Linked DNA regions of Diceros bicornis minor. The protein of the gene in region 2 purifies or fractionates together with the protein of the main gene of each other region. This does not show direct contact. Links are inferred from orthologs where the notes say so. Each region holds a gene or a part of one and is shown on either strand. Other genes may lie near its edges. The genes, in order: TOP2A, PARP1, JUN and RPA1.

Region 1 (7,154 bases), on a different chromosome or scaffold from region 2:
ACTATCCCACTCCTGAAATAGGAGCCAAAAGGAGAAAAACTTAAACGTTTTCCAACATCTGGGTAGACACTGATAATGTTGAAAAAATATGAAGTTTTAAAATGTTGGGATAAACAAAGGGAAATGATTTATGCCCAATGGAAAGAAAAGGACAAAATTTGGAAACAATATTATTATACCGCTTTTAGGAGGATCATCTGTACTGTCCTGGCTCCCCTAGCTTTTCCATCCTACAAAGCACATTGCAAAACAAATATGAAAGGGAAAAACATTATCAACTGTAACCTTCCCTGCTTGCCAATAAAATGCTAAACATTTACTTGGACTTATTCATCTCTTATTTTAAGTTAATTTTCAGAAGATAATATATAAAATGGTTCTTATTCTAAGTAGTACTTAGTATTATCTATAAAAAAGACTAAAACTAGCTCATTATTTTTTAAGACAATGATATCGAGTCCTTAAGAGCATTTAAGTACATCATTAACACCTACATTTCCCAAAAAAAGCCTTAAGTATAGTTTATGTTATAATTGATCAGGCCAATAAAAAGGTGAAACAAGGATGCTGACCACGCACAAAAGGACACCCAATATTTATAAGCTGAAACATTAGATCAAATTATTCTGTCACCACCTGCTGGTTTACTATTTGAATAGCATCAGGAGAAAAAGATCTAGACCCCAGAATACTTACAGCAATTATTGGAGATGCTTACTGAAGTATTTAGGGATGATGTGGGATAATGTCTGTAATATATTTTTAAATGCTTCAGAAAAAATATAGATGGGGCAAATATAGCAGAGTGTTGATAACTGTTGAAACTAGGTGGTAGGTATCGTAGATTGTCCATTTTAGCATTTAGCCTTTCTGTGCTTTTGCAAACTTTCATTTAAAAAAAGCCAACCTCGGGCCGGCCCCGTGGCTTAGCGGTTAAGTGCGCGCGCTCCGCTGCTGGCGGCCTGGGTTCAGATCCCGGGCGCGCACTGACGCACCGCTTCTCCGGCCATGCTGAGGCCGTGTCCCACATACAGCAACTGGAAGGATGTGCAGCTATGACATACAACTATCTACTGGGGCTTTGGGGGGCGGGGGGAATAAATAAATAAATAAAATAAAAAATAAAATTAAAAAAGCCAACCTCATTAAAAATCAAGTAAATGCAACTAACAGTAACAATGAGCTATAACAAACAAAAGACCAAGAGACTTACGGGTCAATCGTGACTCTAATACAAGACATTTTTGGGTCCCTTTGTTTGTTGTCTGCAGCATTGACTGAAAGAAAATAAAATACACATTTGTAAGAAATTAAAGTATTTAAAAAAACATTCTTTAACTCTAAGATATAGAAAGAAGAATCTCAAATAGCACAGGAGTAGCATTAATGAGGTGTTAATTCAGCAATTTTTATTCAGAGTACTGTTCTTAGAACAGAATTCAACTTCCTAGACTTCAGTAGACTGTCTCACCTTTGCCAACTATTGTTTGAAATAACAGAAGGTCTGGCTACAGTAAGGAATATTTTTTATGAAGGATTTGACTGGTAGATCTTTATACGAAAGAATCTACTCACCTAGAATCTCATCAAAGATTTTGTATAATCCAGGAACAAAAGTGACTTCCCTATAGTTAATGCCAACATCTTCATCGTAAACCCACATTTGCTAGAAATAAGGCAAAGAAATATAGTCATTTTTACCCTATGTTTATTGTTTTATCATCATGATTACTATAAAGTGTTCTGGGGTAAATACTACAATATATATATGATAGCTTAGGCCAGTTCCAGTGACACTCAAAGTACATGAAGTGTAGAAAATTAACCTGGCAAAGTATACATTTTAACTACTTACTAACTGCATGTCATTAGCTTGGTTTTACCTGGGTCACTAATTCCACAGAGCCAATGTAGGTGTCTGGGCGGAGCAAAATATGTTCCAACTGCGTTTTCTTTTGATAGATTCTTTCAACGGACAGTCTTTTCTTAGCATCTTCATTTTTCTTTGTTTTGTTGATTTGCATATTTTCATTTACGGGCTAGCAATTAAAAAAAATTGAAGAAAAGAGATTTTTAATCATAGGTTTATCAGAAACTATAAACGAAACGTCTACCGTAATGATATGCTTGCACACACTACAACAAATTGCAATCTGTCAGTAGGTATTGGCGACGTTTACATTGTTTTGTGCAAACACGGCCTTTTAAGGTAACTGCAGCCAGGTCCCCAGGTGGCAGTTTGAATAGACACATATGATCTCACCAAGTGTATTTGACATGGAAATATTTTCCTCGGAACTTTTTATTTATCAATAAAATACACCCACTTCTTTCACCTGTGCCACAAATATTTACTAAGTGCCTCCCACGTCCCAGGCACTAACAGATTCCAGTTCAGCAGCCGTTTGGGAGGCTATCGATTCAATCCTCTGGCCAAGTTAACGTTTTGAACACTGGAAGGACATATTTTGAGCAACTCGGGCCTGCCGGCTCCTTAAGGGGAATATTGTGCCGTGCTCTGCACCCTCCAAGGTCAGAGACATTCAACGCCCTATTCAAGCGGAGGGTAGGAGAGGAAAGCATTGGTATGCGCAGCTTCAAGTCACACGCGGTCCATTGTAATTCAGATCTACTAGAGGACCAAGTGAATCCTGTCCTTAAAAACAGTAACACAAGACACAACGCCCTAGGGGCCCGTTTAGCCGCTAATGCTTCAACATTAGCACCATAAGGGGGTTTCACTTTCCTCACGATCACGCCGAGCCCGGGAGACCACGGTCGACACGGAATACCGGCTCCCAGCCCACCGCGGCCTGGCCACAGCCCAGGAGCCTCACCCCTCACCGGCAGCCAGAGATACCGCTCCACGACCCGCCTCTTCCGCGAGCTGTACCTGCAGTGGTGACACCTCCATGGTGACGGTCGGGAAGGGGCTCGAGAACCCTGCAAGAGACTAAACCGGCGGGACGCACGAGACGACCCCGGAGCCAGCGGCTTCTCCACAGACGCGCGTCGGTTAGGCGAGCTCCTGCAGTCCCATTTGAACCATCCTCCTGCCCGCCCAAACCAGATAAGCCAATCCCTGACTCGGTCTCACCGGTTCCGTCCCGAAGAACCAATCGTAGCTAGTCTTTTATATCTACCAATGAACGGCTGAGTTGGCCCAGTCGAATGAACCAATTAGGCAGGGGAGGCGGGACTAGGAGGTTTCAAAAGACACCACTCGGAGTCAATTGCTGAGAGACCGACAGGGAATCTGGCCAATGAGGAGGGCTCGTTTGTTCTCTCAGAGCAGAAAACTCTGAAGAGACAAACTGTGGAAGCGGGAAGGGGTTTTCTGAGGTGCAGGCTGGGGTGAAAAGAGGAAGGAGACGGATGTTTATTCCCCAGGAGCTGCTAACTTGTTTCAGATCCCTGAAATCTAAACGCCGTCCTCCGGCCTGAGGTTTTTAGTGAGAGGAACGGGAGCGCTATCTCCATTTTCCTGAGGAAACCGAGCGCCGGCTTCCTGGCGATTTGGTTAAGCGAACAGGATCTGACCTTTTCCTCAACCTCCCCTCCCCCCCAAGAATTTAGCGTGTTTTTAGAGAAACAAAAGTGCTACAGTTGTGGTTTTTAGTTTTCGTATAAAGAAGGGTGTAGAGAGGCCGCGCAAAATAGAGAGCAGCATTCAAGTCCCCCAGTAGAGGGGCGTTGGGCTGCAACTGCTCAATTAAAAGGAATAATTTATAGTCACCGCCTCAGGAGCTAAGGATGGTTTAGCGGCCGTTCTAGGACTGGAACTTTCCCCTCAGACTGCCAATAGGATGCCCTACCATGCGTTACTTTTGCTCTCCTCTGTGTTCAAGTCCCTGAATTCTGCGGTCCAGAACAGCGGTTGAGATTTGACGAGGAAATGCCAAAGACCGAAGTTTTTTATTACTCTGACGTGTAAATTTCGAGGGGGGTTATTCTGTCCTCGTCAATCCACAGTGTTCAAATGACCCCCCCCCCAAAAAAAAAACACGCTCTTACAAGATGCTGGAAAAAATAACCGCATAATTTGACCATCTGAACCACCTCCTTCCAATCACTATTCCGTGAGTTTTAATCCTGGCCTGGCATTTTGCCAGCCGTGTGATCTTGACGGAGGCAGCTTCTTGGTGCTTTCCTTTCTTCTGCTAAAAAAAGGAAATAAAAATAACAGTATCACCTCAGAGTTGCGTGAGGATTACACAAGATACATGTAAGACATTTAGAATAGTGGGCTAACAGTATCAGAATCAGGAAGCAGGGATTTTTCCTTAGGTTACCGTGACAATTTGTGGACTTAATTCTTTTTTTTTCTTCTCAAAGAAATCAGGGCCGGCCCCGGTGGCCTAGTGGTTAAGTTCTGCACCCTCCGCTTCTGTGGTCCAGGTTTGGTTCCTGGACGTGGACACACACCACTTGTCTGTTAGAAGCCGTGCTGTGGCGGCAGCTCACATAAAAAAGGAAAAAAAAGGGAAAGATTGGCAGCAGATGTTAGCTCAGGGCAAATCTTCCTCAGCAATAAATAAATAAATAAATAAAAGAAATCAGAGGTCAACCAATTACTGAATCACTCCAGCATGTTCAATGCCCACTCTGCTGGCAGAGCCCCAGGGAGGGCCAGGGCAGAGGTGGTGTGTTGTGACAGGTAGTCAAGGATGGAAGTAGCCCACTGGCTAGGGTAATTGGGAAAACCAAAGGAATGGAGCTTTGGCATTGCTCTGGTCCCTGTCCTCTGGTTCTCCTGGCCTCCAGTAATTCCTGAGTGTCTTCAGCTCCACTCTGCTCATCACATGTGTTGATAGGGGAAGGCAGTCTCAATGCACAGGACCACCAGGGTCTCAGAGCAGCTGTAGGGAAGCCCATCCAGTAGCGTCTGCCCATCAGAAGGCTGACCAGGCCCTGGGCTCCAGGGCCAGCCTGTCACTCTCTGCAGCTTTCCCAGGACAGAGGATGACCCTGATAGTCAGAGACCAGCTGTGCTGCCTTCTACCTCCTGGAACACAGAGGCCCCAGGTGGTAGGGGAGGGTGGGCCTGCTTCCCCAAGGATGGCAGTCCAGCCTCTGCCTCCCTTGGCTTCCCACCCTATAGCTCATCCCAGCCTGCAGCACCCTGCGAGATCTGTCTGGGGATGAGGCAACAGGAATTTAATAAGCAGCACCAGCCCTATTTCCTGGGACCCAGCTTGAAATCTCCCCTGCAGTTTAGCCTGATCCTGACTGTGTGGGTCTCTGTTCCAAAAACCCAGAAGCAGAACTGTGGAGTCAAAAGGACTTTGAGTCACATATGTCTAAGTCAGAAATCTCCCTGAGCTTCAGTTTCCCCATGTCATTAGCCTTTATCAAAGGTATAGAGGGCTAAATGAAATATGGAAGCACCCAGAACAATCTTCCAGACCTCTAGCACAGAATGTCCTTGGTGTGTGTATGTGTGTGGGATGATTGGAGGGCCCTTCTCTTGTGGGGGAACACAAGCTATTTCTCTGTCAGCCTCTCCTCCTTTCCAGAGCCTATCACAGGGAGTCCTGCAGGACTTGTAGGGGGCCACTGAAGGAAGTCTGGGATGGGCGGACCTGGGAGGCATTGTCTACAAAGAGGGAATTCCAGGTGACTGCCATTTGCTAGTGCTGGAAGGCAAGAAGGGGTCGGGAGTCAGTTCCAGGGGCTGTGGTGGGGAGAAGGGGCAGCCATCATCCTCGTTATCCCCGGCCCCTCCCACTTTCCGCCAACTCTGCAGGGGCCCAAACTAGCTACTCTGGACCTTGTCCCCATCCCTGCCCCCACTCGTAGGGGCCAAGTTCAGTAGTACTTGGGTCAGACTCTTGACTACAATACTTGGTAAATGTATGACCCTGGGCAAGTCACTGAGTCTTTCCGTGCCTTCATTTCTTCATCTAAAATGAGGATAATGAGTACCTCCACACAGGGTGAGATAACACATGTAAAGTGCTTAGTGCATTGCTTGGCGAGTTGTAAGTGCTCAAAACATGTTAGCAGTTATTACCTCTACTTTTCAAGACCTTCCTCCCACTCCCCTGTCAATTCTCCAAGTTCTTTCCTCCAAAACCGACTCAAAATTCCCCTGTCCAGGGAGTCTTCTCAGACCATCTTTTTTACTGAGGCCCCCTCAAGTCCTTCGGAGTATATTTGCATACGCAGATGAGTTCCTTTGATAAATGTTGTGTTTCCTGTCTCTCCACTCTGTGTCAGGGGAAGGGGGGTCCTGAAGGAATTGTGTCTCCATCTTCCACCTGGGAGCTCCCTTTGAAAGGGCAGTGTTTCTTCCCTCCTGCGGGCTGACTGAGCAAAGGCGGCTGGGCTGAAAGTGTGGCTCTGGATTTGGGGGATGGAGCTGGCTAGGCTGGAACTCACTGGAAATTCCTGAATGAGGCTGGGCCAGCGCCAGGGTACTGGGGTGGTTAGGGCTCTGCCAATAGGCCCTGTTTACCTTGAGGTTAATGACTGGCAGGGTCTGATCAGTCCTCTTTACTAGGGATACCAGCCTCTGGTTGGAGGAGGCCAAGAAAACCCAAAATGTCCCATAGAGCTCAGCCTCTCTCTGCTAGTGGCATTGCAGGTCTGCTCCTCAGATCACTAGTGGCCCCAGGTAAAGGGACATTGAGGGCCACCAGACAGAGCTAGGAGGAGAGCAAGGGAAGTTCTAGCAGGGATCAGCTCAGGACCAGGGATTTGTCCCCAACAAGTCCAATCAGGTGTTTCCCTCAGCAGTCTGGCAGTCCAGTATCTATCAAAATTTTAAAAGTGTACACACTTTTTGACTCAGCAATTTAACTTATAGGAATATTGATACACTCCCACAATTGTGTAAAGATATATATATACACACACACAAGGTTATTTATTGCAATATTGTTTTTTATTAGAAAAGAACTGGCAGCAATCTAATGGAATGGAAAGACATGCAGCTATTAAAGAGAATGAAGTTGATCTAGATATACTGATATGGAAATATCACTAAGATATATTGTTAAGTTTAAAAAAAGTGAGGTGAAGAATAGAATGTAGAGCATAATTGCATTAGAGTAAATGTTTATGTATTCAGTGAAAACATCTGGAAGGAATTGTAAATAGTTGGAGGAGGAGGAAAACTTTTCATATTTTCTCTTCTATTTGAAAAATTTAAC
Region 2 (7,444 bases):
TGCGGTAACAAACTCACCCCAATTTTGATTTATAGATTGACTATGGATTATTTGCGTCACCAGCCCCCAACCATGGGGCAGTGCCAAGCAGCAGAGGTGTACTCATAGCACAGGCTTGGGGCACTGTAAGGGCCCCCATTCTCTCTCGAGAGGAAAGAATCCTTGACCAAAGCAAAGCTTTACCCTAGAACTTAGGACTCAGGATGACATGGCAGGAAGGGAACCAGACCAAGGTCACAAGACTGCTTGGCAGCCGCACAGCTCAAGCATGGCAGAATCTTTGGCTGTGTAATCAGCAAACACTTAGAACCTACCCCGTAACAGCGTCCTCACTCAGCTGCCCTGTCTGCTTCCTTCTGCGTAAAACAGGACACACCACTGCCCGCCTACCCAACAGAGAGCAGAATGACTGTCACCTCCCTGTATGTGACCACGCTGGGTGCCTGAAGCCCTCCCAAGACAGAACAACACAGGAGCCCACCACAACCCCCTCCCAGTCCAAAGGCTGGAAGTCCCGTCCCCTTGAGGCTGCCCCCGGGCAAGCCAGTTAAAGTATCACGTATTTGATACTCAAGAGAACAATCCTCCCATACAAATGCAAAAGAAGGTATTTAAATCCAAGTAGGAGAAGAATGGCTTCTTTATTTCTGGCCTCTGCCAGCTCAGCAAACAAAACCAACATTACTTTCTGGATTAAAACTCCACCCCCACCAACTATTACAGAAAACCACACTTACTTTTAATAATAATTTCTTTCTCTATCAAGTATGCCAAACGAGGGCCCGGAATGTTAAACTTCATTTGGTTCAGGAGTCGGTTCCTCAATGGGGCCATCCCCGACTCCCCCAGACACAGCTAGCCCTCCTCTCTACAGTGCCCTTCCTGCCTCTACACACTGGCTGGATATGGGGTTTCTGTCTGTCCTTCTCAATAGAACAGGGTTCTCTTGGGCTGTCTGGTGAAACCTATGCATGTCCCTTCCTTGGATAACACTTAAAAATGCATAACAAAATACACAGGTTCACCAAGGAAACCAAATATACTGAAACAGTTATCAAAACATTTAAAAAGCTTACTGGGATACAGTAATCCACGAGCTTTAAAGCATTAAATAAAGAGATCTAGCACCCGCTGTAATACCTACTGTAATTCTGAAGTAGTGATGAGCATAAATGATATTTTGGGAAACTCCCAACAAACGTAAAATGATATGAAAATATCTGTAATTACTGTTGATGACAAAAATCAAGGTACTGCTATTAGGCCTTTGCTTTGCTGCTTACATTCATAACTGGAGGAAATAATGAATTGAATCTAGACATTAGTGACCATAGGGATGTAAATTTATCATCTAAACTCAGGGACCTCTTGAGTTCTATCCGCCATCCCAGACTCCAGGTTAGGAGCCCCCTGCACTAGGAGGGAGCTTCGTAAGGTCAGGCCGCCCATACACTCAGGGTCAAGTTCAAAGATGCTTAGTGGGAGACACGGCTCTTCAAGTGGTAGGCCTCGCCTGCTTCTCCATCCTCAACTTCCTGCCACTGGGACTAATGACTTCTAATCAAGCTCCCATCCTGGGCACACAATGCCTAATGCACAGCTCCATCAGGTGGCACCCACCCAGGTACAGCAGTGTTCATCAGTCACCTTCCCTTTAACAAAACTGGAAGCTGCCAAAGGTGGAGTCTCTCTTTGTGCCTCTGGTACCTGACACAGTGCCTGGAACCCAACAGGCGCTCAGTGAGTGTTCACGGAATGAGTACTGTGTGCCGAGTACTGAGCTAGGTTGGCCCTGAGGATACCGAGATGGCAGCCTCAGTCCCTAACACATTACAAAATGAGATACCCTAAGTACTCGGTACCCACTCTCTTCCACCTCGTAAGTGGAAATCCAGAGAGGGCTGTCCAGCCATTCCTAAAACATGCTACTGCCCTCCTGCAGGGAGGGAAAACCAAGCCATCTTGACCCTATGCACCAAGTCTGGATAACAGACAGCTTTAAGCTGGAGGAGGAGATGACAGAGCAGATGAGAACCAAGATTACACCGGCAGACAGGAGCAGGCTGGAAGCTGGAGGAGGCAGGGACCCCTCAGCGTCAGCAGGGGCCTTCAGACACAGCTCACAGCCCACCCAGCAACCCACTAGCCATCTCTGAAGCCTCAGGGAACACGGGGCAGGGGGGATCCCCAATGTGTCAAGAGGCCCAGGTGAGGAATCCCGGAGCCCCTCTTACTCAAACCAGATAGCTGCAAATGCATCAAGAAGAAAATGCGTCTGTGAACCTGGAAAGTTTGGGGAAAATGTTATTTTCAACCACAAATTAGGCCAAAAGTCAATGCCCTGTACAGAAATGACACCGACTTGTGTGGTTTTGCATAATTAAAAAAAAAATGAGAGTGAGTCGAAGTTGAAAGAGCCAAAAATAGATATATAAAAAAAATCCTCCCGCGCCAGTCGCCACCATCAATGTAGGACAAAAAAATCTTCCAGGACAAGGTAGGTCAAAACCTGACTAGGTTCCAAAGACCGTGCACACATTTTCTCCCCCCGAGGCGAAGGGCAATGAAAAAACCAGAACTCCACCCCCCAGAAATATAAATAGAAACCGCTCCTTGTTTTTACAAACCGAAGGGGTCCACGAGCTCAAGAATGCATTTCCCGGGCTTTTCCTGCAAGATCAGCAAAAGCTTGCGGGAGGGTCCGCCCGGCGGGCCACGCGGGGGAGGAGGGGCAGCGGCGCCCACAGGCCCGGGCCGCCGCTCCGCTCCGCGCAAGCCCTGCCCCCTCCCCGGCCACGCGGAGGCCCCCGCCGCGCACAAAGCGGCCCTCCGCCCGCACCTGCACCATGATGGCCATCCGGAGCGAGTCCTTGGGGATGCTCTCGCTGCATTTCTTGCAAGAGGCGCGCCCGCTCTTGGCGTACTCGACCCGGTAGAGCTTGTCCGAGGCCTCCGCCATCCTCCCGGTCCTCGCGCCGCCGCAGCCGCGGGAGCCCGACGCCGCGCCCCGGAGCCCCGCCGCTGCCGCCGCTGCCCGCCCCGCGTGCGCGCGCGCCCGTCCGCCCCCCGCCGGCGCCCGAGCTCGCAGCGCCGCCGCCGCGCACGCCGCGCACGCCCCCGCCGCTCCGGGTAGATTGCTGATGCCTGGCCCGCCGCGGGAACGCCCCCCGCGCGCGCGTCCACGGGGCGGGGCCCCGGCGCGCGCCCCCTGCCGGCCCTGGCGTGCCGCCTCCCCGGCGCCTGCGGCTGCGCGCAGAGCCGGGCAGGCCGCGCGCGAGGAGGTCTCGGAGGGACCTGGTGGCGCCTGCTTAACCGTTTCGTCGCCAGCAAGGCTTGCGTGCTCTCACAACTAATTCCACCTCCATCCCTTTTAATAAGTGTGTCCTTTCTCCCCGGAGCGCGCCCAGGTCTGGAAGGCGCGCGGCTGGCCCGGGAATGTGGTTGCTCTGCTAGAGAGGGGTCAACGCTGGCTGACCCTCGGCGGGGGTTCTAACTACAGTCCGCAGACCTTCCCGACCGAGTACGAACTGAGCTCTAGCATCTCCTTCACTGTGAATTTTAAATGCATGGATGCAAATCCTGGGAGTATTAGCAGTACCTGTGACTATGTCGGCAGTAGTCATCACAGAGGTTTTCATGGCCCTTTACAGTTGTTGGAGAGAACTCAAAATATTAAGTTCATCGTTACTTGCAATTGCTGTCGTTACTACACCGTCTGGTACTAGATCTCGTTATTTAGTGTAGAACTATGTTTTTATATAACTGGTTTCTTTTTTTTAACCCTATGCATTGTATTTTATTCATTTAAAACATTATAACGGAGAGTGCTGTGTTTGAGAATATTCAGTTCTGCTATAGAGGACAAGAAAAGGAAACGGGATGAATGAGACTCATAAAACCTGTTAAGCATAGAGAAGAAGAAAGCTAGTAGCTTAAGAGACTTGGGTGTGGAGTAGGCAAGTGGGTTATGAGACACAGGCAGAATCCTAAATTCATGACCTGTTAGATATGTCGAAGGTAAATAGAATAGGTGGAATATATGATGGTACAAATAAGAATTTTACTTAGAGAGTAACCAAATCAAAAGGCATGATCATCCCACGTCTGGGTTGACAACTATGTCATCCCTAAAAGGCCTCTCATTGGTGATAACATTATGGTCCCGTTCTGGCTCCGTCTGATTTGCGCAAGAGTTACAGATAAAACCCATGTCTGTTCAGCAGGCTGACTGACAAACTACATCCATGTCCAGGCGTACTTGCCCCTGTGTCTCTCTGATAGGTGACTGTGAAGTGGCTCCAGGTACCCTCTATTGAGTAGCCTTGAGCGTCCTCAGCTCTGGTCTTCGTGACCCCATCATCAGGGGGGCTGGCTGATGCAGCAGAGAGAGAGAGACAGAACATATGGACATTCAGGTGGTATGGTCCTTCCGCCTGCCTGTTCCCTGTCCTGTGTGTGTTATCTGCCCCATGCTGTTCCCTTTGCTGCAGGAACTTTAAATCAGGTGTTTCAGGTGATTCAATAAACCTGTAATTCAAGCGTCTTAATTTGGTCTGTGAGGCTTTCTGTTTTGTGACTTCCGGGACAGCTTGCCTGATAGCGTATCTGGAAGCTACCATCGCATTAGAATTTCTTAGACCTCACTGCACCCGCAATGGGGTCCTGGGCAAACACACACAAGATTAGGAATACCTGGGTAGAATTTTAGGGAGAGCCAGCCATATCTTACTGCCTAGTCAATACTTCTGTTTGGGTGTCATATATGCTTCTCCAACAATGTCCAAAATCTCCCCAGTGCTTCCCATCTCAGGAAATGGTCCACGATTCTCCACATTGTGTAGGTCAAATGCTTTAGAGTCGACTTGACTCCTTTTCTCTTCCGTCCCACATCCAATCCATCACCGAATCCTGACTTTCCGACTTCAATCATTTCTCACCTCCTTCCCATCAGCACTGCTGTGGAGTGCCATCATCTTTTGCGGTTCCTCCACAGTCTCCTGCCTGGTCTCCTTCCAGGCCAGCCCTCCTACAGTCTTTTCTTCCCGTGAAAACACATGAGGTCGCTTTAGATCTCAACCCGTATTATTTCCATGTTCAAAACCCTCCAAACGCTTCTCCTCATACTGGGAATAAAATCCAAAGTTCTTCCTGCGGCTGAATCTGAACCCTGGTCACTTCTCTGATATCATCATCACCCTCTCCCCAGGGCTCCTGCTGCCCCAGCCACACTGGCCTCCTGCCTGGTCCTCAGACACCCCAAGCCCACTCCCACCCCAGAGCCTTTGCATTTATTTTTTCTGGAACAGTCTTCACCCAGCGAGCACACAGCTCACTTCCTCTCTTGATTCAGCTTCTGCTCACACGTTACCATGACCACTCCAGCTAAGATGCTTAGTCTCTGCACACTGTCTTTATCTTCTTGTCTTACTTTATATTCTTCTTTCTACTTCTTACTCCTAACAGCGTATTTTATACATATGCATGTGTTTATTGTCTGTCTCCCTCACCAGCATGCAAGCTCCTCCAGGGCAGGGGTTTATCTGTTCTGCTCTCTGTACTAGCCTCAGTGCCTGGCACAGTGCCAAGCATTCAAAAATATTTGTTGAATGAATGAATGAATCACACCTTTGACACTTCCTCTGCACAGCCCAATTGTTTAATAATAACGGTACTTCACACTTATATAGATTTTTGTATTTTATAAAGGGCATTCATAAACATAAGTTTGTTTGCTCCTCATTATAATGCTATGAAATAGGTTACTTTAAAAACTAATAAATGACTGTATTTACTTAGAAGCATTCAGATTGTCCACAAAACAGCTGTAACTTTTTATCCCCCAATTTCAGAGTGGTATTCAGTTAACAGAACAACAATTATTTCATACAAGCTGCGTGAGAGACAATTGAAGTTGATAAAACTACCATGCCCATGTATAACAGATTAGTTAATCTGTACTGTGCACCAACGAGAACCTGCTTTGAACTCCTAACCCGCATACTATATCCCCGGTGAGGTTGGTGGCTATTGAAAATACCACCAGGTCAGGGTTGTCTAAAGAATTACTTGGTAATTCTTGTTAACAATATCAAAAAAACCACAACAGTTTAAAAACATATCTTATACAGCTTTATCTTTCAATTTTTATTCTTTAAAGGAATGAATTATGGAGGTTAAATGCTTAATGGACAAGAAAGAGAAAGAAAAGCTGACCTAGAACCACCTTATTCTTCATCATCATCGTCTTCAACTCTGTCGTCTCCATCTTTCTCCTCCTCATCCTCCTCTCCTTCTCTGTCTTTCTCCTCTACCTTTTTTTCTAGTTGTGAGCAGCCTTGACAGCATCCTTTTGTGCCACATCAGCTTTCCTTTAGCTCAGGATGCAGCAAGATCCTTCCTTCTGCTGAACGGCCTTCTCAGGCTGCTTGCCATCTGCAGCGCTGTGGCTCATGTCTCTCCCAGGTTCTTTTTTTTTGTTTTTGTTTTTGTTTTTTTTTGTGGGGAGGACTAGCCCTGAGCTAACATCTGATGCCAATCCTCCCCTTTTTTCTTGAGGAAGATTGGCCCTGGGCTAACATCCGTGCCAATCCTCCTCTACTTTATATGGGACGCTGCCACAGCATGGCTTAGCAAGCAGTGCGTCAGTGCGCACCCAGGATGGGAACCTGCGAACCCCAAACCGCTGCAGCAGAGCACGTGCACTTAACCTCTGTGCCACTGGGAGGGCCCTCTCCCAGGATCTTTACATCATTGCCTACGGGCAGGCCAGGATCCCCTTTGATTCTTGGCCGATCCTTGGAACACACTGAGGAAACGGCCAAAGGAGTCCTTTTGGGTGCATTGGAAACCCTGAATTTTTTGTTTCTGCTTTAGAAGGGATACAAGTTTTCATTCTACAAGGGCTCTTGTCCACTCTTGACGTGTCTCCAATTTCCTTTCTCTTTATCGGACAAGGCTTTCCATTTTTCTGACCATTTTAAAGAACATCCTGAGAAGCTGACTGAAACGTCTGGATGTTTTTTCCTGTGCTCCTTCTGGCAAGTTTGCGCAGAATGCCTGTGATGACATTTTGCCTCTAGGCTTCTTAGGGTCTCCTTTGCCTGTGCTTAGTTATTTTTCCTCAGCGAGGCACAGAGTGGCCCAGTGCCCATCAGCTCTCACTTGCCTTGGCAATGTCTCTAGGTAGGTGTTTTTAAATCCCAGTTTTCAGATAAGAACATGAAGCTGGAAAGGTCTAGGGACTTGCCCATTAAGCCTTGTCTGCTTCCTCTCCTGACCCTTCCAATCCCTCCCACTGCCATTGTCTTCACCACTTCTCCCCTCAGCATTATTCTTCTCTCCCTTTTCCAACACATCCATTGCCAAAGTTTTTTTTTTTTTTTTAATAAATTTGATTATGACTTCTACCCTGCTCAAAACCCTCTGTTGAACTCCTGTATTAAAA
Region 3 (6,574 bases), on a different chromosome or scaffold from region 2:
GTATTTGAATACGTTTATTGTGACAAGGATGCTGTTATAAATATTCATAAGCAAAGACCATCTTTTTTATCTAGGAATTGTTAAAGTGAAGAGTCCAAATTGGAAAGACACATCTTTTGTAAAACTCTGCCACCGTTCCTGCTTTGAAAATAAGAATCTATTGTTAAATTTCTAATGTCAAAAATGGTCACAGCACATGCCACATGATATAATCTTTAAAGTGTCTGACTCCCCAGCGGGCTGTCCCTCTCCACCACAACCTCCCTTCCCTCAGCCTCCTGAAACCACACTACCCTTTGTAAGCAGCTCTATATAGACGCTTGGGGGAGGGAAGAGTATAACTTGATAACAGCATTAGCTACAGTTATTTCTCAAGTCCAGTAGAGAATAGTTTTTACTGCTTGATAGTAAGAAGCACTGAGAGTGATTTTAATTGACATTCTTAACTCTTTCAACTCGGCCTAGATAGCTAATCTACAGATAATGCAGAAAAGAGGTTGGGGGAGGGGTACTTTTTCAATATTTTATTGTATTTTCTTAAATATCCTTTCTGGAATTTTCAGAAACAAAACATAAAAAAATTATATACTTTATTACAAATGGTAAACTCAGAGTGCTCCAAATCTCTTATTTACAAACAACACTGGGCAGGACACCCAAACAAACAAACATGAAATAACTTACAAAGGCATGAAGCTGTTTATTGACAGTAATCAGCTTTCATCAAATTAAAAAATATATATATGTACATACACAGTTAAGGAAGGCAGGCCAGAAAGAGTTCATTTGCAGGCTCAGCCTCGCTCTCACAAACCTCCCTCCCGCCCCCCACCCCCCTTTGTGTTCTTACGGAGTACTACAGAAGCAATCTACAGTCTCTATTGCGGTTTGTAACCCCCTCCCCCTCCCCCCTTTTAATACTGAATGAGATCGAATGTTAGGTCCATGCAGTTCTTGGTCAATGTTAAAGAGAAGTCTACCGTCTGTTCGCGCGGGGACAGCCCGTTCGCAAAGCGGGGTAGCCCGCAGGCGGCCGCTCCCTGGCTCCGCGCCAAGGGAGGGCGCGCCAAGTCCTTCCCACTCGTGCACACTGGGGGCGCCGTCAGGACGCAACCCAGTCCAACTTGGATACCCTTGGCTTTAGTCCTCGGACACTTCTTTTTTCTCTCTCTCTCTCTCTCGCAACTTGTCAAGTTCTCAAGTCTGTCTCGCTGTGTTATTGTTTTTTCTCCGTTGCCCCTCAGCCCCCGACAGTCTCTCCTCAAAACGTTTGCAACTGCTGCGTTAGCATGAGTTGGCACCCGCTGTTAACGTGGTTCATGACTTTCTGTTTAAGCTGTGCCACCTGTTCCCTGAGCATGTTAGCCGTGGACGCCAGCTCCGAGTTCTGCGCTTTCAAGGTTTTCACTTTTTCCTCCAGCCGGGCGATCCTCTCCAGCTTCCTTTTCCGGCACTTGGAGGCAGCGATGCGGTTCCTCATGCGCTTCCTCTCCGCCTTGATCCGCTCCTGGGACTCCATGTCGATGGGGGACAGGGGCGGCGTCTCGCCGGGCATCTCGGGCACCGTCTGCGGCTCCTCCTTCAGGGCCTGCAGCCGCGGGTGCTGCACGGGGATCTGCTGGGGCAGGTGGTGCGGCGGCTGCGGCGGCTGCTGCTGCGGCTGGGGCTGCGCGGGAAAGGCCAGGCCGGCCGCGCCGTAGGAGGGCGCCCCGCCGCCGCTGCTCAGCGCGCCCGGGTTGAAGTTGCTGAGGTTGGCGTAGACAGGCGGCTCGCTGTGCAGGCTGGCGCTGAAGCCGCCGCTGCCGCTGCCGCCCGCCACCGAAGCCACCGCGGGAGCCACCATGCCCGCCCCGCTGACCGGCTGCGCCGCCGAAGTGACGCTGGGCAGTGTGTTCTGGCTGTGCAGTTCGGCCAAGGCGCGCACGAAGCCCTCGGCGAAGCCCTCCTGCTCATCGGTCACATTCTTGGGGCACAGGAACTGGGTGGGAGTCGGCGTGGTGGTGATGTGCCCGTTGCTGGACTGGATTATCAGGCGCTCCAGCTCGGGCGACGCCAGCTTGAGAAGCCCCACGTCGGGCGAGGTGAGGAGGTCCGAGTTCTTGGCCCGGAGGTGCGGCTTCAGGCTGCCCACCGGGTCGGCCAGATTCAGGGTCATGCTCTGCTTCAGGATCTTGGGGTTACTGTAGCCGTAGGCGCCGCTCTCGGACTGGAGGAACGAGGCGTTGAGGGCATCGTCGTAGAAGGTCGTTTCCATCTTTGCAGTCATAGAACAGCCCGTCACTTCACGTAGGGTTAGTCTGGGCTGCGCGCAGAAGTTTCGGGGCCGCAACAGTGCGCTGGCAAGCGGGGACACCCGCGCCTCCCGGGCCTTGGGCGAGGAAAGTTTCTCTAGGAGCGCGCGCACCCGCCGGCCGCCCGCGCCGCTGCGCCCGCCTCCCCGCCTCGCTCCAGGGAACGCAGGGTGAAGACGCCGCCCGCACTCTCACTCGCCGGCTCGCGCGCGCTGCCCGCCTTTGAAAAGTCGCGGTCACTCACGGAGCGCGCTCCGGCGCAGCGGTGCCTCGGGCCCGCGGACGAACTCGCTGCCCGGCGACAGCGGCGCTCCTGGCGGCGCCGATCAGCGCGGACCCCGCAGCGGCCGGCCGGCGGCGGGTCTCCGCCGCCCAACTCCGACGACCGTGCCCTCCTCCGCTGCGAGGGGGAGGGGGCGCCCGGCAGCCGCGGCTCGCGCTCGTCCAAGTTCAGCAACCGGTGCGAGCGAGGCGGAGCGCGCGTCGCCCCTCTCTCCTTTCCGCCGCCGCGGCCGCTTCAGGCGGAGGAAAGCTTTGCAAAAGTTCGCTCCGGGACCCGGGGGCCACTTGTCCCCTGTCCTCCTGGCCAGGAAAGTTCTTTGCCGCTGCAGCCCCTCTCTGGACTTCCCGGGCGACAGTCGCCGCTCTCCGCGCTGTCAGCAGCGCCCAGGCAGCGGGGCTCTCCTCCTGGGGGCGGCTGGAGAAGGGGCTCTCTGGGCGCTCCCCAAAACACCAGCCCGGGAGCCACAGGCGCTAGCTCTGGGCAGTTGGTGAGGAAATGGAGAAGAAAGTGAGATGTGCGGGGCGGACTCCAGCGCCGTCCCGACTGCCCGTCTCGCCGAGTCCACGCACGCCACTCCCGCCGCCCTGGTTCAGCCACACTCAGTGCAACTCTGAGCCCTTAACCAGCCCCAGCTCAACACTTATCTGCTACCAGTCAACCCCTAAAAATAGCCCATGATGTCACCCCAAGGCCTTCCCATTGGCTCGCGTCGCTCTCAGGGGGGCGGGCCCGCCCGTCGCCATGGAGACCCCACCCTAGAAGATTCTTCTCTGGCCCGCGGAGGCTCACGGGATGAGGTAATGCTCCGCTGCCCTCCTACAGTTGGGCCCTTCTTTCTCCTCCTCCCCCTCCCCCTCCCGCCGGCTCGCGCCCTCTCCCCCCCTCCCCGGTGCCCCTCCCCCGGCGCGTCTTTCCCGGCCCGCCCGGTGCATTGTGGGCTGACGTCTTGGGGTTTGACTGACTGTGACGGTGGCTGCCGCGCGAGGGGCGGACGCGGCGCTCGCAGCCTCGGATGGAGGCGGGCTGAAGTTCAGGGCTCCGGGCGGGGGTGCCGGGGGTGCGGGGACCCGAAGGCTGGGGACGGGCCAGGTGTCGGGGCCCCGGTGTCACCCATGAGCACCTGGGCGCCGCGCGGGCCGGGAGGCTGAGGCCTGGGCCCGTCCCCCGCACTTCCGGGGCGGGAGCACGCCCTTAAGGGGTCTCTTCAGTCCCGGTGGGGATGGGCGCGAGAAGGCGGGCTCCCGTTCCGGGCGGCCTCGCGAGGGCGGCCCTGCGAGGGCGGACCCCCGCGTTGAGACGCTCGGGAGTTTGTCCCCCGGTCAAGTTCACGGGCGGCCGTCCGGCTGCGCCCGGGAGCCGGCGGTGTGCACGGCTCGAAACTGGGTGCCGGCGCAGTCCCGCCGCACCCCCGACTGCGGGGAGAGGGTGCGGGGTCGCGGCGTTGCCTCCAGAGCAGGCTTGTCATGGGGGTGGAATTAGGGGCACCTCTGCGTTCAGCTGGGAATGAGAGTTGAGGGAATCCGAAACTCGGGGAACCCCGGCGAGCATCTGCTCCCTTCCCCCGCACAGCGCGCACACACGCACACACACTCCTCACGCCCCGATTTGCTTCCGGGAAAACAACTCCGAGGGCGGCGGACGCCCGCCAGAGTCCCGCCGGGGCCGGGGTAGAACCAGGATTGAGAGTCTCCCCGTTCCGGCCCGGAGGTGGGCCCGTATGCTGTGTAGCCTCTAGGATGCGCTAGACACATGGAAGTGGTTCCTCTTCTGTGCTTTTTACTTTATCCTCCCCCACCCCGTACCCCATAGGGACAGAAGTGTATAGTGGAAAGCATCCCGAGGCCGGGAGTCGTGGATTCTGTCGCGGCCCGCGCTGCCACGGTGTGAAGGGAGCAAATCCCCGAACTTCTGGGAGCTTCAGTTCCTTCCTCTGCCGGGGGGCCGGTGAGCTCCACCTCACTGGGCTGAGCTAGTGTAGTATCGCCTCCCGGGCTAGCCGGTGGTCCACAGACCGCCCCTTCCCTGCCCGCCCTCGGAGTTTCCCAGAGCCTCAGTGGAATGCCAGGACGTGCGAGTGTGATCTGGAAGGACCAGGTGTACTTCCTCCTGGGAGGAGGAAAGGGGCAGAAGTCAGCTCTTTCCTGGGCTTTCCGTCGAGGACTGCGGCTTGAAGCTGGACTTGGAGCAGCTTACGTCCTTAAGTTCTAGTGCTGCTTTTCCGCTTCAGAACGTGGGGCAATCCTTGGATTCATAGCCGCAAGCCTTAAGGTGTTTGTGGCTTTGAGAGTTGAGAATCAGCAGCCCTACAGCAGCAGCAGCGTCAGGGAAGTCTTGAGCACTTTTCTTCACTCCTGGCGCTCCCCTCTCGCCTGGGACAGCAGAGGAAAACCCTAGTGGCTCCTGTGAGCCAGGCCCTGAGCTGGGGTGGGGGTGAGGGCGGGAACGGGATACAGTGATGACAAGATCCAGTTACTTCCCTCAAAGAGGGAGCATTCTGTATACTGTTGCCCTGAATCATTTTCTTTTGTAATCAGGGAGCTGATGTTCTTAATAACTTTTATGATAGCAGTAACAAAAATACATTTCATGTATTAAACACCTACTATCAGCCAGGCATTCGCCTGCAATTTATGCCATTTCTCCCCACAACTGTCTTGGAGTTAACATATGAGGAAGTAGGCCCACAGATGTTAAGTATCTTGCTCAGGTCACACAGGGAGCTGGAAATTGAAGTTGGGTCTGTTACCTTCCCTTGTTGTATCTTCTCTGCTCTGGGAGATTTTCTTGTAAAGTATTAGTTGTCTGCAGAAGAAATGGCGCTTAGATGGTAGGATAGAAGAAATTGTCTTGCCTGAACCTCCGTAACTCCTTTCAGGGCCTCCTTTCAGAGCTCCTGTATTTAGAAACTTCAGGATTTAGGCTTTGTATAAATATATATCTTTTGCCTAAGGGTTCTGTGTGTTCCTCTCTGCCTTATGCGGTTTAGTAGGCTGATTTTCTCCTTATGTTGAGAAATAGCATATTTCATTCCAAAAAATAACAGATCTGTTCATGTTAACGCCCCTGCTTGGAAGCCTCCACTGGCTTCCCCATACAACCAGGAGAGAGTTCAGATGCCTTTGCCTGGGAGAAGGGGCCTTTCACAGTCCGGCTCCTGCTCTCCAGCCTCATTTCTGGCTTCCAGTATGTCAGGAAAGGCTGGGTTATGCTGCCCTAACAAGCAGGCCTCACACCTCAGTGGCTTACCCCAGGGAAGTTTATTTCTTGCTCATGCTGCATGCCCACTGTGGGTCTGCAGAGGAGTTCTGCTCGCTGTGGTCCCTCGAGGGCTCCAGCTGAAGAAGGCTGCCTCCTGACGCACGCTTCTCATTACTGTCTTGGCTTGGGGGAGAGAAGGGTGGCAGATCCTTCAAGGGCTCTTAAAGCATCCACCTGGAAGTGACACACTACACTTTTGCTCATGTATCACTGGCCAGAGCAAGTCAGGTGGCCATGCCTAACTTTACCCCTCTGTAATCTTGCCAAGTATCTCAAAGGGAGAGAGCCAGGAATATTTGGGGAACAACACAGATGACTCTTAGCAGTCCCCTTTCTGTTCACCAAATGTTTGGCTTACCATCCTCCCACAGGCAAGTTCCCTCATTCTTTCCTCAAGGGGGACACTAAAGACTCATCTAGACTCATCTACTCTAAAAACTCTAAAGACTCATCTAGTCACAGGGTATTGAGGACTTTTCAGGTCCGTGTGATGCGTAGTAGACTCTACATCTAAAGGCAAGATATCCACCCTGCACGCCCTCAATATGTGATGGTGGGAGAGAGACAGGATAATGCAATGGACACACGGTTTGGAAAGTGAAGGAATGGGAGACCACAGTAGACACTAGTCCACTGAGCAGACATGTGGAGGACCCCTACCCAACACCCTGATTAGACCCTGATTCTGCTCCCTGAGTGTAGCTGCCCTATCCATTGTTTTCCATGACCCCTGGCTCTGCCC
Region 4 (7,924 bases), on a different chromosome or scaffold from region 2:
TGGTGAACTTAACCAGTTTCATGGCTCAAAATGCCATGTACAACGCCCAGATTTACATCTCTAGCCCAGGCCTTTCTCTTGAACTCCACGACCACTTGGACATCTCCACTCGGACGTCTCATAGACATCTCAAACTGAAATATGAACCCCAGATCTTCCTTCCTCAAATAGCTCCTTCTGCAGCCTTCCCAAGTGACGGTAATTTCATCCTTCTACCTTTGGCCCTTTAGGCCTAAATCCCTAGAGTCATGTTTTACTTCTCTCATTTTCTAACACACCATATCCCATCCATCAGGAAATGCTATTAAGTCTATCATCAGAATCCAACCACTTCTCATCACTCCCCCACTACTACCACCCTGGTCCAAGTTACCATCACCTCCTCTCTCACCTACATTCATGCAGTAGCCTCCCAACAGGTCTCTTTATTTCCACTCTTGCTCCAGCTATAGTCTATCATCACCACAGTGGTCAGGGCAATCCTTTAAAACAGGGGTCAGCAAATGTTCTGTAGAAAGCCAGAGAGTAAATATTTAGGCTTTGTGGGCTAAGAGGTAAAATTGAGGCTATTACATAGGTACTTCTATAAAAAATAAGGAAACACATTTGTAAAAACTTTTTATTGACAAAATTCAAAATATAATAATAATTGAGTATAATATTTTTATAATACAGGTCTACTAATGAGAAAAACGGAATTCTTTTTTTTAAAAAATAGATATCAATTTGCTTAACTGGAGTTCAAAGCCAGTGTTCCCTAACATCAAATCAACCACAAACGTTTCTCTGTAAAAACCATTCTTAGTTGATGGCCATACAAAAACAGGCAGTGGATGGATTTACTACACAGGCTGTAGTTTGCTGACCTCTGCTTTAAAAGATAATCAGATCATATCACTCTTCTCTTAAAACCCTGTGAATTAGTTTTCTATTGTTACGTAACAAATCAGCACAAATTCAGCAGGTTAAAACAACACCCATTGACTATCCTCACAGTTCTGTAGATCAGAAGTCCAGGCAGGCTTGACTGGGTTCTCTGCTTAGGGTCTCACAAGGCTAATCAAGGTGACCACTTACACGGAGGATCTGGGAAAGAATCCTCTTTTAAGCTCATTCAGGATGTTGACAGAAGCCAGTTCTTTGTAACTGTGGGTCTGAGGTCCCCATCTCCTTGTTGGCTATTAGCCAGAAAGCACTCTCAGCTTCTAGAGGCTGCCTGCATTCTTGTCATGTGGTCCCCTCCGTCTTTAATGTCAGCAAAAGCACATTCAAATCTCCTGCTTTGAATCTCTCTGATTTCCCTTTCCACTACCAGCTGGAAAAAATTCTCTGCTTTTAAAGGTCTCATCAGACTGGGTTAGGCCCACCCAGATAACTGTATCTCAAGGTCAATTTATTTAGGATTTTCATTACATCTGCAAAATCCCTTCACAGCAGCACTTAGGTTAATGTTAGATTGAATAACCAGGGGACAAGAATGCCGTGGGCCACCTTTAGAAATCTGCCTACGATACCTTGCAATAACTTCCTCCTCAGAGTAAAAAGACAAGGCACTTACAAGGGCCAACACGATTTGTGCTACCTGCTTTCCCCGAGCCCCTGTGCATGTCCTATTACCTCTCTGATGTTATTTCCCCCTACTCTCCCTCTGGCTTACTCTGTTCATCCACACTAGCCTTCCTGCTGTTCTTGAACATGCCAGACACTCTCTCACCTTAGGATCTCCACCTGGAACGCTCTTCTCTCAGATATCTACTTTGTTAACGCCTGTATCTCCAAGACTTAGCTCAACTTTCACTTTTTCAATGAGGCCTATCGGACCAGACTATTTAATACTACAACCCGCACTCTTGCTCTTAGCACTGTCTGTTTCCCCTACCCTGTTCTTTTTTTTCCTTCTGTACTTATCACCTTTAACACGTTATATACTTAACTTATTTATGATGTTTATTGTCTGTTCCTCCTCGCTAGAATTAACCTCTCAAAGGTAAGGATCTTTGTCTATTTTTTGTTTACTGATGTATTTTTTTGTTCACTAAACATATAGCACAGTGGCTGGCACAAAATAGGTGATCAACAAAAATTTACTGAATCAAGTTTTGGGAAACTCCTGTTTCAGTTTTCTACATATGTATATGTGTACTAGGTTGTGATGCAAAGTGTATTTCTTACTGAGGAGTGTAGTCAAGAGAGTTTGAAAACTACTGGGATTAGACTATATGACCTCTAAGGTCCTGTCAAATTTGAGCGCTTATGAATTTCTACGTGCAGCTAATAAATCTCCGCTATATCCTTTGGGATATGGCAGGGCTCACAGCCTAGTGACTATAGCAAGGCATGATTATTGAAACATTGTACTGACACTGAAAAAGCTAAATAGCATCCCTACCTGTTCTATAACAGTAGGTTAGAAAACACTGATAATAGCAAGAACTGCTGAATGCCCCCAAATATAAAAATCTGAGCTTAATCCTTCCATTAAAAAGAGATATAACTTGGGGCCGGCCCGTGGCGTAGTGGTTAAGTGCGCGTGCTCCACTGCTGGCGGCCCGGGTTCAGATCCCAGGCGTGCACAGACGCATCGCTTGTCAGGCCATGCTGTGGTAGCATCCCACATAAAATGGAGGAAGATGGGCACAGATGTTAGCTCAGGGCCAGTCTTCCTCAGCAAAAAGAAAAAGAAAAAAAAAAAAGAGGAGGATTGGCATGGATGCTAGCCCAGGGCTGATCTGCCTCACAAAAAAAAAAAAAAAAAGAGATATAACTTGAAAGCAAATGACAAAAGAGAACATTTTGCAGATCAAAATTTCCCTGGTTAAAGCTTCCACTCATGGGGCCAGCCCCGTGGCTTGGCAGTTAAGTACGCATGCTCTACTGCTGGTGGCCTGGGTTCAAATCCCGGGTGCGCACCGAGGCACCGCTTCTCCGGCCATGCTGAGGCCGAGTCCCACATACAGCAACTAGAAGGATGTGCAGCTATGACATACAACTATCCACTGGGGCTTTGGGGAAAAAAATAAATAAATAAAATCTTAAAAAAAAAAAAAAAAAAAGCTTCCCCTCACTTACTGAAGAAGCGAAGAGGAGTGAAGAAAAATATCTCTCACAGTCTCTGCTGTAGAAATTGTGACCTGAGTCGACATCGGGAGCAAAGACCACTTCTGAAGGACATACGATTTCCACTCATCCACGGGCAGATCCATGTTACTTTAGATCTATAAAACGAATAAGAAAATGAGGAATTCAATTTGTACAAATGCACAATTCTAGTCAAGATTTCATTTAAGCCAGCATGAAGCAACAAAATCAATTCTCGTGGTCTTTTTCTATAGCTGTTTATATGCTGAGGAAGGATCTATATTCTCTCACACCAATTCACTCAACATCCTTTCATTCAGAAATATTTACCGAAAGCCTACTTTGTTCTAGGCACCACTAGGTGATCAGCTAGCCACGATCTGTCCTCTTAGCCCTCCATCTACCCTAGGCTCAAGTCAGAAACCTGAGAGACATCCCGATTTTCCTTTCTCACTCTGCCCAGCAACTATTAAGTAAATATCTCTCTCTAGTTCGGTTTTTTCTTATCCCTAGGTCATTCCTTTAGTTCAAGCCCTCACTATCTCTTGTCTGGCATTCTTTCTAGAGTGTCATAACTAGTCTCCATGCCCTCAGTAACACCCTCCCCCCATTCAATCCATCTTCCACAGTGAGGCAGATGTCAGTCCTTTGCCTTAAATTCATCAATAGCTCCTCCTAGCACAGGGAAGCCAAGTACAAATCCCTCATTATTTGACCCTTGCCTTACTTTTTTTTGTGAGGAAAATCTGCCCTGAGCTAACATCCATGCCAATCCTTCTCTTTTTGCTGAGAAGACCAGCTCTGAGTTAACATCTATTCCCAATCCTCCTCCTTTTTTTTTCCCTTTTTCTCCCCAAAGCCCCAGTAGATAGTTGTATGTCATAGTTGCACATCCTTCTAGTTGCTGTATGTGGGATGTCACCTCAGCATGGCCACACAAGCATTTCGTGGGTGCTCGCCAGGGATCCGAACCTGGGCCCACCAGTAGGAGAGCACGGGCACTTAACACGGGCCGGCCGGACCCTTGCCTTACTTTCTAATGCTCAAGTCTCACTTCTTCCTCTGTATCCTACTATCCTGAGCTACTCAAAGCTATCCCCAGCTTGCCAGGCTGTTCATCTGCCTAGTTTTTGCATAAACTATTCATGCTTCCGGGAGCATCCCTACCCTCACTTGCAGTCCAGCTGGCAAATTTCCACACATCTTTCAAGACTCAGTGCAAATGACAACTCCTCCGGGAAGCCTTCCCTGATTTTCCATCCGTGATCACAGCACACTGTCTCTCTCTCCTGGGGCCCATACCCCGTCTACCTTGAGTTACGGCTACTCACAGCGGAAACTCCTGGACAGACTGTGCTCTCTGAAAGCAGGGACCGGGTCTTATTTACCTTCAGAGCCCCCCACTGTGCCAAGCGCAGGGTCTGGCACCGGCGGGAGCTCAGCACCGGGCTGCTGAAGGAATCAAGTCACTGCTTCGACGACATTTAGCAGCAGAGTTATCAGGGAGCAGCACTAATTCTCTGGGCTACCTGTCGGTCTGCCCGCCAAAGACTGAGCCGGTCTGTTTCCGAAACCCAGCTCGGAAAGCTCCCGGAACTGGCCACCCGCGCGCTTCGCTGCGTCCGCGTCACCGTCGGCGCGCCCGGCGGCCTGGCGCCCCGCCCCCGGGCCCCGCCATCCTGCGACCAGGCCCCCAACCTGGGCACGGGCGGATCACCTAGGCCGCCCGCCGCGCCTCGGCCAATGAGAGGGCTGCTCGGCCCCTAGGCCCGCCCCTGCGCCGTGCGCACGCCGGGAGGCGGGAGCGGCGCACGCAGCGCCTCGGGCCAATTGCTTTGGAGCGTGGGGTCCCCGGGGAGTGAAGTGCGGGCTGCGCAGAAGCCGGAGCGCGGGAGTTGGCGCGTTGGAGCCATGGTGGGGTACCTGAGCGAGGGGGCCATTGCGGTGAGAAGACGGCCGCGAGCCGGGCCGGCGGGCTAGGGTGGCTCTGCGGGTGGAGAAGGGGGAGAGGAGCTGGGGGCCGTGGGGAGAGAACGCGAGAGGAGGAGACAGCGGGCGCGGGATGCGGGGGGGAACCGCCGGCTGACTCCCTAGAATCACACGGTTTTTCCTATCGTCTTGTAAACATGCTCATGTTTTTCCTGCTTAAGAAAACGAAGCAAAATAAACTGTTGATTTTCCATCTCCCTCCCGCGCCCTCTGTCTCCTCCCCTTCCTCCGCCCACGGCCAAACTTCTGCAGACTTGTCTGTTTTCAGCTATTTCATGTCGTCATCTCCCATTAACGCTTTAACCGACTGTAGTCGGTCCCTTCTAGGATCACATAGAAGTAACCTTGGCTGAAGGTAGCAGTCCCTCCAAGTCGCTAAATCCAATAGACAGGTTTCGGTTTTCAGTTTACCAGCGTTCTCAGCAGCGTTTGAGTCTCTTGAGTATTCTTTCTTTCTGATAACACCCTCTACTGTTGGCTTTTGTGGCTCAGGTGGGCTGGTCTTTCCCAGTCTTATTTGCAGGTCCCTCTTTGTAAATTTCTGTTGACTCATGGCTGTTCTCTAGGCTCTATTCTCCCAGGACAACCTCATTACCATCCATATGTCAATTGCTCACTAATGTCTTTGTCCGGAGCCACCTTTACTCTGAAAGACAAACCTTTGTAATCTGTCTGCCTACCTGATATCTCAAAGGCATTTTAAATTCAACATGTCGCAAAGCAAATACATTATCTTCCTAAGTTTGGGCCTCTGATCCCCAGCTGGATGAATGGCACCATTATCCGTTAAGTTATGCTAGCCAGAAATTGTGGAATCATTCTTCCTACAAACTCCATCAGCCTGAGGTCCAGTCCATCACCAAGTCCGGTGTGTTTTACTACATGTATCTCTTAAATCCATCTACTTCTCTCCATCGACATTGACACCATCGTTTCTGGCCTGGACTACTCACTTCCATCCGGCATAATCATCCTCCTGCCATTCCCATCATAGCATATTCCCACTTGTTCTCTCCTCCTTTCCAGGCTTTTTTTTTTTATTTAAGTTCCTGGTATATTCCATACTCTTGCTTTCCACAGGGCCTTTGACCATTCTTTTCCCTCTGCCTACTGCCTAGGTGGCTCTTTAGTCTCCCTTCAGTGGCTAACATAATCTTCATATCTCAGCTCAGTTACTTCTCAGAGAAACCTTCTTTGACTTCCCTTGCTAGGCTAAATCCCTTTATTTTGAGACCCTAATTCCTGTTTGTTCACTTATTAGCTGTTATGATTTTGGGCAGGATACTAAACTCTGCCTTTCCTCTTCTGTAAAATGAGACTAATGATACCTAGTACTTCTTGCCTAAGGTTAGTGGGAGGATTAAGTGAGCACTTACATTTAAAGTGCTTAGTCCCTGTCTGATACAGAGTAAATGCTCAGTATATGTTGCCTATTATTAATAATCACAGATGTAATTTTACATTTATTTGTTTATTTGATTAATAACAGTTACTTTCTGTCTCCCCCCCAATTGTAAATTCTTTGAGGCCTGAAATTATGCCTGTGGTTTTGCTCAACATAGTCTCTCCAGTACCTGGAGCAGTGCTGGCAAGTTTGAGGTGCCCAGTAAATGTTGTCTAGGTGCCTATGAGGCAGTGAAAAGAAAGGGGCAGAGATGGATGGGGAAGAACAGTTGGCAGAGTCGAGTGAATATTTGAGTAAATTAGGAATAATTAGTCCTGAGAAGTGATTGCGAATTGTAGTCCTCATTTACTTTACAGCTGCTACCTTATGTCTTGAAGACAAATTAGGAATTGTTCTTCACTTTTAAAAAGAAGGATCCTGGTGTTATTTAAATAATTTGATTAGTTTTTGCTATATTCAAAATTTTGGAAACATTTCCAGTGTTAGGTGAAGTATTACTTAGGTTTTATTTATAAATGACCAAGAAAATTTTTGTGTTTGTGGTGACGGAGTGTGGAGAACCCTTGTCAATTTTGATTACCGGCTAAAGCAAGTAGTGTCATTTCAGTTCAAAAGACACAGGCCTGAAAGGATAAGCAACTAACACAAATAGTAGAGGCATTTGGGGCAAGAGCTAACATCATGAAATAAGAGATTATGCATGGAACTATTGTGGTAAATAGAATAAAGAGCATTTGTCTCGTAAGTAATCGGTAATATAAAGAAAGGGGAAGAGAACTAATTTTTGACCATTTCCAGTGTGCCAGATACTTTATAGTAGTCACTATTTACAGTAACACTGTAAGGTAGAATTTTATCATTACCCTCGTCTTACAGATGAAGAAATTAAAGTGCAAAGAAGGTAAATAATTTGTCAGTGGGGTGAGGATTTGAACGCATGTGCCCTTGACTATTACATTCTTTTGCTTTGTATTTCTGTTAGCAATGTTAGTTTGGGAAAGTTAAGGCAGTTTTGTCTCAAGTGTACATATCATGCTATATGTCCTAGAAGAGTAAATCTTATATTCACTATTAATGATGACACAAATTAAAAAGAATAATAAAGTAATACTTGCATGCGGTTTTCAAATCAAATAGAACAGAAAGGTGTTTGATGAAGTTACTGACCCACTGCCCCACCTTGCCCCAGTTCTGTTCCCTAGAAACAGCTACTTTTTAAAATCATGTTTATTGAAGTTCAGTTTGATTTACCTGTAATAAAAACTATAATACATATGATGAATACATATAATAAAAACTCATCAAACTGTGTGCAGTTTGTTGTATATACTCCTGTAACCACACCACCCCAGTCTCCTGCTGCTTCCCCATCCCCTGCTCATTCCCAGGCACCACTGCTCTGGGTTCTGGTGTCTATCTCTTTAAGTTAGTTTTGACTGTTCTAAAACTTCA

What was found.
Region 1: the proteins of PARP1 (region 2) and TOP2A purify together in Homo sapiens (co-immunoprecipitation; 3 studies listed by BioGRID and IntAct, with this or other methods). This does not show direct contact. The link is inferred for Diceros bicornis minor from reciprocal best matches to the Homo sapiens genes PARP1 and TOP2A.
Region 3: the proteins of PARP1 (region 2) and JUN purify together in Homo sapiens (co-immunoprecipitation; 3 studies listed by BioGRID and IntAct, with this or other methods). This does not show direct contact. The link is inferred for Diceros bicornis minor from reciprocal best matches to the Homo sapiens genes PARP1 and JUN.
Region 4: the proteins of PARP1 (region 2) and RPA1 purify together in Homo sapiens (affinity purification with mass spectrometry; 3 studies listed by BioGRID, with this or other methods). This does not show direct contact. The link is inferred for Diceros bicornis minor from reciprocal best matches to the Homo sapiens genes PARP1 and RPA1.

The regions. Positions count from the first base shown.
Region 1 is NC_080757.1:39,912,625-39,919,778, forward strand, and holds the start of TOP2A (DNA topoisomerase 2-alpha), read right to left. Parts: upstream 3,011-7,154; 5' UTR 2,915-3,010; coding exon 2,894-2,914; intron 2,040-2,893; coding exon 1,884-2,039; intron 1,667-1,883; coding exon 1,576-1,666; intron 1,278-1,575; coding exon 1,214-1,277; intron 1-1,213. UniProt on the Homo sapiens protein: Key decatenating enzyme that alters DNA topology by binding to two double-stranded DNA molecules, generating a double-stranded break in one of the strands, passing the intact strand through the broken strand, and religating the broken strand.
Region 2 is NC_080777.1:7,605,052-7,612,495, reverse strand, and holds the start of PARP1 (poly [ADP-ribose] polymerase 1), read right to left. Parts: upstream 3,009-7,444; 5' UTR 2,960-3,008; coding exon 2,840-2,959; intron 1-2,839. UniProt on the Homo sapiens protein: Poly-ADP-ribosyltransferase that mediates poly-ADP-ribosylation of proteins and plays a key role in DNA repair.
Region 3 is NC_080752.1:20,478,463-20,485,036, forward strand, and holds JUN (transcription factor Jun), read right to left. Parts: upstream 2,481-6,574; 5' UTR 2,267-2,480; coding exon 1,262-2,266; 3' UTR 510-1,261; downstream 1-509. UniProt on the Homo sapiens protein: Transcription factor that recognizes and binds to the AP-1 consensus motif 5'-TGA[GC]TCA-3'.
Region 4 is NC_080757.1:15,951,103-15,959,026, reverse strand, and holds the start of RPA1 (replication protein A 70 kDa DNA-binding subunit), read left to right. Parts: upstream 1-4,913; 5' UTR 4,914-4,989; coding exon 4,990-5,022; intron 5,023-5,411; exon of another isoform or gene 5,412-5,489; intron 5,490-7,924. Other genes in the region: SMYD4 (SET and MYND domain-containing protein 4), read right to left, coding at 3,070-3,203. UniProt on the Homo sapiens protein: As part of the heterotrimeric replication protein A complex (RPA/RP-A), binds and stabilizes single-stranded DNA intermediates that form during DNA replication or upon DNA stress.